3 linked regions of the Cricetulus griseus genome follow. The main gene of each other region encodes a partner of the protein of the gene in region 3 in a complex. Links are inferred from orthologs where the notes say so. Each region holds a gene or a part of one and is shown on either strand. Other genes may lie near its edges.

What was found.
Region 1: the proteins of Rgs7 (region 3) and Gnb5 are in contact, whole or in part, in a cryo-EM structure (PDB 7EWP), measured with the Homo sapiens proteins. The link is inferred for Cricetulus griseus from reciprocal best matches to the Homo sapiens genes RGS7 and GNB5. Residues at the interface, in NP_001351815.1 of Homo sapiens: Pro19, Leu22, Val23, Lys26, Val30, Ile72, Val76, Glu77, His80, Leu81, Leu84, His88, Val207, Asp213, Ile214, Lys215, Lys216, Leu258, Gln261, Ile262, Trp265, Gln266, Gln268, Leu269, Arg271, His272, Arg273, Leu274, Lys275, Met276; in NP_057278.2 of Homo sapiens: Leu57, Glu60, Ala61, Glu62, Leu64, Lys65, Leu68, Glu71, Lys74, Leu75, His76, Asp77, Val78, Glu79, Leu80, Val83, Leu90, Phe93, Arg98, Arg99, Leu109, Lys117, Arg118, Ser134, Phe135, Trp149, Met151, Leu167, Tyr197, Ser206.
Region 2: the proteins of Rgs7 (region 3) and Gpr158 are in contact, whole or in part, in a cryo-EM structure (PDB 7SHF), measured with the Homo sapiens proteins. The link is inferred for Cricetulus griseus from reciprocal best matches to the Homo sapiens genes RGS7 and GPR158. Residues at the interface, in NP_001351815.1 of Homo sapiens: Gln35, Ile43, Ser55, Arg109, Phe110, Thr112, Pro113, Tyr114, Phe115, Lys134, Thr136, Lys140, Ala141, Arg142, Leu143, Leu145, Ala146, Asp147, Ala150, Leu153, Gln157, Trp164, Phe168, Met169, Gln170, Glu172, Ala173, Gln174, Lys176, Val177; in NP_065803.2 of Homo sapiens: Leu507, Lys508, Phe510, Leu511, Arg513, Thr514, Tyr595, Tyr598, Ala599, Thr602, Val603, Pro604, Ile714, Arg715, Leu718, Lys719, Tyr722, Leu725, Glu726, Tyr728, Lys729, Arg730, Met733, Ile734, Thr735, Asn736, Asn737.

What each region holds. Positions count from the first base shown.
Region 1 is NC_048597.1:186,571,892-186,576,037, forward strand, and holds the start of Gnb5 (guanine nucleotide-binding protein subunit beta-5), read left to right. Parts: upstream 1-1,315; 5' UTR 1,316-1,440; coding exon 1,441-1,552; intron 1,553-4,146. UniProt on the Homo sapiens protein: Enhances GTPase-activating protein (GAP) activity of regulator of G protein signaling (RGS) proteins, such as RGS7 and RGS9, hence involved in the termination of the signaling initiated by the G protein coupled receptors (GPCRs) by accelerating the GTP hydrolysis on the G-alpha subunits, thereby promoting their inactivation.
Region 2 is NC_048596.1:212,158,106-212,162,465, forward strand, and holds the start of Gpr158 (probable G-protein coupled receptor 158), read right to left. Parts: upstream 2,847-4,360; coding exon 2,793-2,846; intron 980-2,792; coding exon 877-979; intron 1-876. UniProt on the Homo sapiens protein: Metabotropic receptor for glycine that controls synapse formation and function in the brain. Acts as an atypical G-protein coupled receptor that recruits and regulates the RGS7-GNB5 complex instead of activating G proteins.
Region 3 is NC_048598.1:18,547,016-18,550,677, reverse strand, and holds part of Rgs7 (regulator of G-protein signaling 7), read right to left. Parts: intron 1,321-3,662; coding exon 1,134-1,320; intron 1-1,133. UniProt on the Homo sapiens protein: GTPase activator component of the RGS7-GNB5 complex that regulates G protein-coupled receptor signaling cascades.

The sequences.
Region 1 (4,146 bases), on a different chromosome or scaffold from region 3:
TTTCACTTCTGTCTCCTCCCAGTCTGCCTAGAAGCCAGAAAGCTAGAAGAAATTCTGGTAGATAAACAGTCCTGGGTGACCTGTCCAGGCTCCCTGTCTTAGCTGTTTAGACAGCCTGGCTGATCTTGCCCAGCTAAGCAGAGAGCAAAACTAAACTCCAGTGCTCCTGAGCCCAAGCCTGCTGGGCCTGGTAGGAACTGAACAGAAATCCTGACTTCTTTTTTTCAAAGTACATTGCATCTTATCCTTGCCAAAGGTGGCTATTATCAGGCTTCAGATCACCACCAAAAATGTCCTCAGCCCTGGAAATCAGTCCCTGCCTGTCTCAGAAGAGTCACCAGGCTGAGCTCAAAGCTGTGGCTCACAAGGGCCCCCATCTGGTAACAGGTGGTAATGCACCATCTCCTGATCCGACAGGAGTGCTGCGCCCTTGAGGTACACTGACGTACATGTAGACAAAACACTCATCTACATAAAATAAAATAAATCTTTAAATTTTTAATTTAAAAAGGTGTGTTTATTTTATGTATACTAGAGGTTTGCCTGCACGTATGTCTGTGCACCATGGGGCATGCCTGATGTCAGTAAAACCAGAATAGGGCATTGGCTTCCCGGAACTGGCATTACAGAGGGTTGTGAGCCACCATGTGGGTGTTGGGAATCGAACCTGGGTCCTTTGGAGGATCATCAAGTGTTCTTCACCAGTGAGCCCTTGCTCGCTATACATCTACACTTTATATGAATACACTTACACTTATGTAGCATGTTTTATACATCCATTTAATAAGCTAGCATTAACTGAACTATTTATTTTATTTACTTTGGTTTTTCGAGCAACTTCGGTGAGCATCAAAAGAGTCACCAGGGAACCTAAGCCCAGGGAAGTGTAGGTGGAGAGGAGCCACTGTAGTCTGTTACTCTGTCACCATAAGCAAGACTTCATTCCAGAGGAAAGGACGCCTCCGACTCCAGCAGGGTGTGCCACCGACCCCTACTTTTGCTGCCCCATCCCAGGACCCCGGCAGCCAGAACTCATTTTTAAAAGAATGTTTCTGGCTAGAGGGTTGTGGGACAGGTTTCTGACGCATCCTGCCTCAAGTCCCCAGGGATGCAGAGGGCTGGGTTGTGTCGACTTCTCTAGGCTCCCCTGGAGCGAAGAAAGAGGAGTTGGGACCACAGCTTGTTCTGTGAGCCTCAGTTCCCCCAAGCCTCCACCCCTTATCCCATCCAGGGCATAGCCCCGCCTGGTTCTCAGGGAGAGCGCGGAGGGCGGAGCCGGGGAAGTCTGCCACCGCCGCGGTCGCGTCACCGCCAAGGGGGCGGACCCGGGGAGGCGTCCGGGGTCACGGAGGCTGCTGCTGATCCCGCCCTCTCGGCCACCCCGGCGTCGGCTCTCAATCTCCCGCTTTGCGTTTGTCTCCCGGCTGCATCCCGACGAAGATGGCAACCGATGGGCTGCACGAGAACGAGACGCTGGCGTCGCTGAAGAGCGAGGCCGAGAGCCTCAAGGGCAAACTGGAGGAGGAGCGGGCAAAGCTGCATGACGTGGAGCGTGAGTGCGAGCCGGGGGTGGCGGGGAAGCTCTCGTGGGCCCGACCCTCCGAGGGGCTGGAGGACCCGCGTGGGACCGGTTCCACCGCCCGGGGTGGGAGGATGCTGAGCCCCTCCCAGGGGGCGGGTGGAGAGGCGCAGCCAGCAGGTGTGCCGGGGCGGGACCGCTTTACTGCTCCCCGTTGGGACTCTGCCCCCCGTTAGATCCTTTCTCCCCGCGGATATGAGGCTCCCTTTCCCGTGTCTCCACTGTCCGTGGGGGCAGGGAGCTTGATGGCGGAGGGAAGCGGAGACGCCTCCTGCATCCACGCGTTCAGCTTGCGGCAGGCCCTTTAGAAGCCTTTGATGGATGCCGCGGTTGACATAAAAGGGCCAGCGCGGTGTAAATAAACTTGCCGGCGTGCCCGCTTCCATCCCGGTTCAGAACAGGGGTGGTCAGAGAGGGGTGGTCCTCCGCAGAGCTCAGAGTGGAGACCCCGCTTGGGCAGTGGTCTTACCCGCTCACCCTCCCTTGCAGAGCAAGGCTTGTTAGCCAGCAACCCCCCACCCCGCAAACACACACACTTATGTGTGGTGTCCCCGCCTTCCTAATTGGTCACAGCCTTAATTTAAGTTCCATTTGGAGAAGGGAACTGGGGTTCAGTAAGGGGCCTTTAGCATTTATTTTCCCTGAAACTTGCTGGAAGTACAGAACCCCTGTTATGCCTTCCCAGGGACCTTCTCTTGTTAGAAGGGCAGCCCGCTTCTGTGAGATTTCGAAATGTGTCCAGATGTAATTAGTTAAATTGTGAGTTGTTTTTCTGGTAACAAGATCAGGTCTGGTGCAACTGCTTGGTGCTTTGAAGAGCCCAGGCCTTTCCACACCATCAGCCATTGGCATTTACCCAGTGACTCCAAGATGACTGCCATTGCTCCAAACTTTGCCTCTGTATCCAAAGCAGGAAGAAGGGAGAATGTGAACCCCGGGCTCTTTTCCTTCTTAGGGAGAAAGCAAAATTTTTCCCAGAATTCCTCTCTTCCTAAGATTTCTATTTGTACTTTATTAGCCAGAACTAGGCCATGTGGCCTCTGCCAGGGAGTCTGGATAAAGGGGGCCCATGCTAAGCACATTGCCACCCCAAAGTTGAGAAGTAGGGAGTGGAGACATGGGGTCAGTCTCTCCTTCCCCTTTTCAGAGCCTTGTAGGCTGAAGGTGGTGATGTTGTCTCAAGCTTGGTTTAGTGCCTCAGACTTCTCTGTTTGACAGCTGAGGAAATGGAGACGTTCCTTGGCCCTGTGGCTTGTGCATTCATTTTGAAGTGCTACACAGGTGGCCCTTGTGACATGAGCCCCTCACTCTAGAAACCCCACCCACCCACCCACGGGGGGGGGGTGATCTTGTCTTGCATCCTCTTACTTAGAGTCCTACTCTGACCATAGTCTCTCCCGGATCCTTGGGAACCCTGGCTTTCCCCTGGAGCCCTCAGCCCTGACCTGTCTTCTATCCCTTCCCTAGCATCAGCACAGATACTTTGATTAACTTCCAAAAGTCTTGCCAAGGGACCATGACTCTATCTGGTCCTCCTGCCTCCTCCTCAGCCCTGGATGGACCAACAGCCTTCCTTTCTCCTGCTGCTGGACTCATGAGGCTGCTGAAGAGGAGGCACCAGGAGGCCTCTGTGGCCAATGGCTAAGTCACCCTGTAGTATCTTCAGACAGCTCTCTGCCCTGGCAGTTGTCAGCCACTTAGCATTCTGTGATGGCCTCTGTCCTTTTACTTCCTCCCCCAGAGAAAATGGAAGGTAGAAAGCTGGGCCCTGAGTTTATAGATCCAACCCCCCTTGCACACCTGACTGACTCTTCCTGTCTAGGAGTTAACTTCTTCCCACCCCTAGTCTTTAGTTTTTCCTCTATCTCTGCCCCCTGCTTCTCTGTCAACAGTCTCTCTCTCTCTCTCTCTCTCTCTCTCTCTCTCTCTCTCTCTCTCTCTCTCACACACACACACACACACACACATACACACACACATACCTCTCTTTTTCTCACACAGTTTGCCAGCCCCTGGTGTGTCAGGCTCTGTGTGCAGCGAACAAATCAAGAATGTTCCCTCAGAAGGCTTTGGTCCAAAGCTGGGAGTCAGGCATTCAATAGGTAAAATAAGTTCTAGGCTATATATGTTCTCTAGATAGAAAGGAGGGGGTAAGGAAGAGAGAAATGAGCTATGGGGGAACTCAAAAAACTCGCAGAGACTGTGACCCAGGGTGGCTCCTGGGAAGGATGTTTGAATGCAGATTCCTTACTTGTATAAAAAAAGGATAGACTGCCACAGTGAAGAGAGTTTGAAACAAAAATCAATGCAAAGCTGTTAAGTGTGTGTGTGTGTTTGGGGGGGGGTTGGTATAGTGAGCCAAAGCTGAGGCAGGGGAGTATGCTCGCTGTACTGGGGGGAAGCTGAGGCCCTGTCTGGAGAGGCATACACAGTGGCGGGGTAGGAGGTGGAGTTACAGTGGGGGGCTGTTGAGGCCTGGTGGGACACAGTGAGGTCTTGGTTGCTCTTGCTCTCTCTGTCTCTCTGTCTTTCTGTCTCTCTCTCTCTCTCTCTCTCTCTGTCTCTCT
Region 2 (4,360 bases), on a different chromosome or scaffold from region 3:
CTATTGAAAAGTAACTTATAATAAAATGCACAAATAAAATAAATGGGCAAAATAAGTTTTAGAAACTTTCCAGTAACTGTCAGGCTCATAGAAATGACTCCATTAAATATTGACTAAAGGTCAGAGAGTTCAAACCTAGCCTTGCTCTTTCAATGTTAAAGGCCTAAGACCTAAAGGTCTAACATGTGGCTTAAGGTGTGCTCAATGATGCCTTCCCTAGATAACCGAATAGTTGATCTAAGATATGCTGACAAGATGACTTAATCTTCAAGGCCAAACAACAGGTTTGATCTAAGGTGTGATTACTAGATACTTAGAGAATTAAGGAAGTAATTACATCTGTTTTTTCCTTGTATCATTGGTAAGAAAGTCTTTCTGCCCCTCCCCCTTTGGTTGGGGCATATAAGAACTTTGAGCAATAAACTAGGGCAGATATCAGTATTCACTGGGCGCCCTCCCAACATTATCTTCTGTCTCTAGCCTGTTTCTTTCCTCAATCCGTACTCCCCTTCTCAGGTATGAACCAAACTCATTAGCTGGACTGAACAAGTAACAATTCTCAAAAGCTAAAACTTAGGTCATCTCCAAGAGTTATAACATCTTCAGGCTTTTACATGTTCTGAAGACTAAAATACATACAAGCACACATGTCTTCATGCACAGCCACCCCAGCACTGAAAATGCCAAACCCAAACAAAAAACTTGCAAGTGTTTTAAGAAAGCCAAGCCGATGTGGATTTGACCTTGTAACTTCAACAAGGTGAAATGATTATCTGAATGATTGTCAGCAGGCATGGTGTGTGTGTGTGTGTGTGTGTGTGTGTGTGTGTGTGTGTGTGTGTAACATGCACATGTTTAGAGGCAAAGAACACTTACTCTGAAAGTTGTTCACTGAGAAGACACGGGGATGATAGAATCCTGCTTTGCAGATACACTGATAGGCTCCAAGAACAAATCCTAGGCCTTTGATTGGCATACACTACGGAGAAGAAAAGACAGCAATATAATCGGTCACAGTATTGCTCACAACAGGAAAACTCACTTATCTATCATTGCAAATGTTATCAGAACCAGTACATTTTCTAACAATAAAATATTTCCAATTTGAACTTTTGTTTTAGGTTTGTTTGCTAGCAGCCACATTTTTTTTTAAGAAGTAACAAAGTTCTATGCCTGGCAGGGATGGCGCTCGCCTTTAATTCCAGCATTTGGGAGGCCGAGACAGACAGATCTCAGTGAGTTTGAGGCCAGCCTGGAATACAGAGTGAGTTTCAGGACAGGCTCCAAAGCTACAGAGAAACAACAACAACAAAGTAACAAAAGTCCCCATTTCTAAGCATACACCATCCTTTTCCTTTTTAAAATTTAAATTATAAACAATCTTATATATCAATCCAAGTTCCCTCTCCCTCCCATGCCCCCCCACTAACCCCACCCCATCTCTCTTCTGCCTAGGCCCTCCCCCATGTGTCTAGGCTGAGACGACCCTCTATGGGGAATGGGCTCCCAATGTTCATTTGAATACTAGGTATAAATGCTGTTCCAATACTAGGGCCCCATAGACTGCCCAGGCCTCCTAACTGACACCCACATGCCGGGTGTCTGGTTCCATCCTAAGCTGTTCATGAGCTTCCCCTTGTTCAGGTCAGCTGTTTCTGTGGATTATCCCACCATGGTCTTGACCCCTTCGCTCATCACTCCTCCCTCTCTACAAACTAGATTCCAAGAATTCAGCTCAATGTTTTGCTGTGGGTCTCTGCTTCTGCTTCCATCAGCCACTGGATGAGGACTCTAGGATGGCATAAAGAGAAGTCATCAATATCATTTTAGGGGAAGGGCTTTTAGGTTATCCTCTCCACCATTGCCTGGATTGTCAGATCGTGTCATCCTTGTAGGTCTCTGGAGATCTCCCTAGTTCCAGATTTCTTCTCGGACCTATAATGGCTCCCTCTGATATGCTATCTCTCATCCTGCTCTCTCTCCTCTATTCTTCCCCCAAGTCAATATTTCTGCTCCTCTATTTCCTGGGGAGAGACTATCTTAATTGCCCTTATCCTATCATGAGAACAAGGGAGAGCACATCGACCCCAGATGCTGTCTGGGAGGCCAGTACAAAACTGATCCAGACCCCTGAACATGGATGTCAATAAGGAGGCCTCTGCACTCCAGGGAGCCTCAGGTAGTGGATTAGTATTTTTCCCTGGTGCAAGAAGGGACTTTGAGAGCCCATCCCACGTGAATGGTTACACTCTGACCCTGGACACATGGGACAGGGCCTAGGCCCAACACAGGAAGATTTGGTGGACTTTGCAGAGCCCCTGTTGAGGGCCCTACCCTGCCTGGGGAGTGGTGAGTGGATGGGGTGGGGGGTAGGTTGGGGGTAGGGGAGGAGGGATGGGGGTGAGGGAGGGAGAGGGAGAAGGGACTTACATGTGAAACAAGCTTGTTCCCTAACTTGAACTAATATTGCTTAGATTCATAGTTGGGGTCATTGTAGTATAACTGTGGATATTTCCCTAGAGCCAATTTTCTCTTTAATCTTTTTTTTTTGCTCTCTCTATTCTTCCCTCAACTCAATCTTCCTATTCCCTCATGTCTTCCTGCCCCTTCCTATTCTCCCCTTATTTTGCTCCTAACTACCTCTCCCCTCCCAGTGTGCTCCCAATTTGCTCAGGAGATTTTGACCCTTTCTCCTTATTTCCTAACCTGTCATGCCTAACTCCTCACATTTTCAATAATAAATAAAGGTGGGATTGTTGGTATTCAGACATTATGCTGCCCTACCTCGTCACCTGGCACAATGCACTCAGGCCATCCTGAGTACTCTGGTCATCCCAGGGTTCCATGAGCACTAGTCTGCATGCAGGTGCAAACCCCTTTAAAAGACAGACCCCCACCCCCCTATGCTCTCTTTACTCTCTTTCTGATCTTTGTGCTCTTTCTGGCTCCTCTCCCTCTCTGCTCTCCTCTCTCTCTGCTCTCTTCTGCTCTTTCCTCTCTCTCCGCTCTCTTTCCACTGTTCCCCTGGGCAGACAGGACCTTTCCTGTCTCCCTCTACTCTACAGTTCTTTTTCTGTGTCTCTTGACCTCTTTTCTCTTTCCTTCTTTCTCCCTCCCCTTTCTAATAAAACTTCTCACTTAAGCTCTGTCTGCCTGGCATGTTTCTCCCTTTGACTCAGTCAACCTCACCTGCCATGGAATGTGCTATTGTCCCCCAACCAAGGTCCCCCTAAAGCTTTATGCTAACATTGGTGCTGTGACTCGGGTTCGAATTGAGATTGCTGCAGCCACAATACAGTCGATAAATGTGCTGAGAAAGAAATCAGAGAAACATCACCCTTTACAATAGCTACAAACAACATAAAATATCTTGGGGTAATAATAACCAAGCAAGTGAAAGACCTGTATAACAATAACTTTGAGTCTTTAAAGAAAGAAATTAAAAGAAGATACCAGAAAATGGAAAGATCTTCATGCTCTTGGATAGGTAGGTTCAACATAGTAAAAATGGATATCTTGCCAAAAAGCAATCTATAGATTCAATGCAATCCCTATCAAAATACCAACACAATTCTTCACAGACCTTGAAAGAACACTTAACTTTATATGGAAAAACAAAAGACTCAAGATAGCCAAAACAACCCTGGAGGCATCGCCACCCCTGACTTCAAGCTCTATCACCATGCACAAAGCTTAAGTCCAAATGGATCAAAAACCTCAACATAAATTCAGCCACACTGAACCTCTTAGAAGAGAAAGTGGGATGTACCCTTGAACAAACTGGCACAGGAGACCGCGTCCTGAATGTAATACCAGTAGCACAGACACTGAGATCAACAATTAATAAATGGGACCTCGTGAAACTGAGAGGCTTCTGTAAGGCAAAGGACACAGTCAACAATACAAAACGGCAGCCCACAGAATGGGAAAAGATATTCACCAACCCCATATCTGACAGAGGGCTGATTTCCAAAATATACAAAGAACTCAAGAAGCTAGCCACCAAAACACCAAACAATCCAATTAAAAAGTGGGATACAGAATTAAATAGAGAATTCTCAATAGAGGAATCTAAAATGGCTGAAAGACATTTAAGAAGGTGCTCAACATCCTTAGACATCAGGAAAATACAAATCATAACAACTCTGAGATACCATCTTGCACCTGTCAGAATGGCTAAAATAAAAAACACCAATTACAGTTTATGCTGGAGAGGATGTTGAGAAAGGGGAACACTCCTCCACTGCTGGTGGGAGTGCAAACTTGGACAGCCACTTTGGAAATCAGTATGGCAGTTCCTCAGGAAATTGGGAATCAGTCTACCACAAGATCCAACAATTCCACTCTTAGGCATATACCC
Region 3 (3,662 bases):
GAATACCAAATGTAGTGCTGATAAGAACACCTTATGTTTATAGGACATTTGGATCTTCCAGTCCATCGTTTCTTTCCCAGATCAATGTTTGCATTGAGCTATTCAGAGGGAGAAACTATATGTGGTCTCTTTAATAATAGAATTTAGTCAAGGGGACATTTGAAATAACTTGAAATCAATGTGACAATTTATGTGGAACATTTGAGAAATGAAATAAATCTGTTTCCTTGAAAATGATTCCAAGGCCAAAGTGAATGATGTGACATCGAGACTGTATAGTCATCCTGGAGGCCCTGGCACCTATAGCTTCTGGGAGAGCCAGGCAGCCTGGATAGATCTCACTCTTGGGACCAATCCATGATAAATTATCTTCTATACCTACTTTAGCTCAAAGCTCAGGTCTGAAATTTCTTGTTGGGTTAGTTAAATGACAAATTTCCAAATCCCTGTGCTTTTTTTCTTATATGGTGATGTTAGTCACCTGTCCCTAATAAGTGTGCAGGGTTCTCACTGTTCCCTACCCTTTGAACTGAGGATCGAGCCTCATGCATTTTAGATAAGTGTTCTACTGATGAGCTACACCTTAGCTGCTCTTGCATTCTACAAATGGCTGCTGATGGATGAAGAAGTCAAGCAAAGAAAACAATATGTTCATTTAACTGCAACTTGATCCAAACGTGGGAAGTTCTGCTCTTGTTCCAGCACTTTAAGGGAACTTACATGTTCCATTGCCTTCCAAATCTAGTGAAACCTCAGTTAGTTGTACAGTTATGCATGATGTGAGAGTATCCTGGATGGCCCATGAAATTCTCGTGAATAAACACTAAATTTATATTTTAAAAAGTTGCCGGGTGATGGCTGCACATGCCTTTAATCCCAGCACTTGAGAGGCAGAGACAGGTGGATCTCTGTAAGTTCAAGGCCAGCCTGGTCTACAAAGGTACACAGAGAAACCCTGTCTCAAAAAACCAAAACAAACAAATATTCCCAGGGGTTTAAAAGATGACTTAATCTGAAATGTCTTTGTTCTGTCCTCAGGAAATGAACCTGGGTTTATGTCCAGTTTTAAACTGAACTTTAAATACTGCAGAGAGCTGTTGGCCTCATGCTGAGAGGTTAGACCATGTACTGACCTGAGCATCTTCAAATGTGTATCGTCCTGGTTCCTTCACATTCTGTGTGGTTTTATCATAACTCTTAGAATCCAAGTTAATGGCACTGGGGGCCCCAGGAGCCAGAAATTCTTGCCATATTTCCTGCACCCGAGAGGGTACTTCTCGGATAGGCCTTTTCTTCAGGTCCTCCACCGCCAGCCAGAACCTACAAAACACCACAGCACCTGTGAGCCCCACAGGCATACCTGGCCATCCTTGTAATGTCCTCTCACTACTCTAGCAAGCTTAACTTTCTCTGCAGATTCCAACATCACTCCCCTGCTAGCTGTCTTTTTATTTTTCAAGAGTCATATTCAAAGGCATCAAATTATTTTTTGTTAGTTTTATTTTTTACTTTTAAAGATAGGGTCTCCTGTAGCTCAGGCCGTTCTTGACTTTCCTATGTTGCTAGAGATGACCTTAAACTTCTGATTTTAATGCTTTTCCTTCCCCAGTATTCAAAAAGTGCTTCAGAAGGAGGGATTGGAAATCACTGGTTTTCAGTGGCTTTTATTAAAAGCAGATGTGCCAAAGCCCCGATCCTGCATAGTCTCAATTTCACTGAAGCAACACAGAAAGGGCTTTATCTTCAAACACAGCACTAACAGAGAAAAATGTCCATACTGAAACAGCTGCAATGCTTGGAAGTACACTGGAGTTTCTGTAGGGAGTATACACTAGAGAGTTGAGGATGCTGAACCAGAAAGAGTCTTGACACAGTGGCCGGCATGTGGATGGAATAAAGAGGGTTCAGGGAAGCTATTCTATTTGAACTGACATCAGAAATTCAATGGAAAAGTGGGTAAAGGAGCCAAGTGCTGAGGGATTAATGTGATCATGCACACCCATATGTAGGTGAAGGTACTATTGCGAGTATTTGCAGTCTTCACAACATTCATACTGTGATGCATTCCCCATATTAGAGATCAGGAAAGTAAAGATGCAAAGACTAGGTGATTTATGGAAGGCTGGCTCCGGAAAATCTGTAGCAGATGGCATTCTCACAACCACTTCATCACACTGTTTCCCTAACAACAGCTTCACCTTCTGTATTCTCATCATCAACGTTAGCACAGTTGGCTTAGCTTTGTAAAATGGAGAGGGTACCGCTTTCAATCCCACTGTTCACTTGATAGCAGCTGGAGTCTAAGGAAGTCACTGACATCTGCACTTCTTGATTTCCTCATCAATACAGTGGCATGAAAAAAAAAGCACATCTACCAGGGGTGCCACTTGGAACCAGTGGAACTAGTGACTAGTTCAAGGCATAGTTTAAATAAAGGGCATCTCAAAATGCCTGGCACAACTTTATGTGCCTAACCCATGCTATTACCATATTGATTTAGCAAAATATGGGCAACAGAAGACAGAGGGTGTGTCTGAAGAGTAAGCAGAGATGGGTAAGCAGTAACTCTTGAGTCCTCCCATCCTGATAACTGAAGTGGCAGTCTCATTGACAACAGATCCTCTAGACTCTAGTTCAGAGGCTGCTGCTGCTTAGATAAGATGCACTGAGAGTCACTGAACTGCAAATCCGGCCCTGCTTGTTGTCTGGATCACTGTGGTGTGGGAAAGAGATACTTAGGTGGAAGCCAGGGTATGGTTTAAACTTGGGTGAAAGGTTCAGGCATTATGCTGGCCTGCCCCTGTTACCTGGTGGAATCCACTCAGGCAGTGCCCTGGTCAGCCCAAGGTTCCATGGGAACTAAGTCTGCACACAGATGCAGAGGACCCCTTTAAAAGATAAGTCCCTGCCCCTTTATGCTCTCTGTTTCTCTCTGTTTCTCTGTTTCTCTGTCCCGCTCTGTTCCCGCTCTCTGTCCCCTCTCTCTGTTTCCCCGCTCTGTCTCTCTATGGCGACCGGCCATGGCGGTCAGCCATTTACCCTGTTCCTCTTCTTAGTCTCCCCATTCTGCCGGGCCTTATAATAAACTTATAGTCTTATGTCTCATGTCTCAGCACTTCTCTTTTCTTCTTTTTAAACAAACAATAACATTTTGGCGCCCCACGTTGGGCCTTATAATAAACTGATAGTCTTATCAGTATTTCTCTTTTCTTCTTTTTAAACAAAGCAATAACATTGGGGAATGGTTGGCAGGAGGTTCATACTGGCTCATAAGAAACAAGAATGTCACTTCCTGCACTCTGACCTTGTCCAAGATGCTGATCTGACTTAGACATGTTTTGTTTTGATTATCTAGGAAATAAGGCAAGAACATTGACTGCACATTTTTGATTATTTGATTCATATTTTTTTCAGAAAGAATGGAGGCAAAACACTATATACTATACTCAGAGAAGTTGTATGTATAAACATAGTATACATTGGGACCTCAAAATGCCTTCCATGCTGTGTCTTTCTAGGGTTTATCTACATGTAATAAAGAAACACGGTAGGCATGTAAGAGCCAACTCAAGAAGTACATATGCATGTGTATATATATATACACACATATAAGACATATTTAATACTTGTATGTACATTTTCCTGGGTTGCCATCCTCTTTA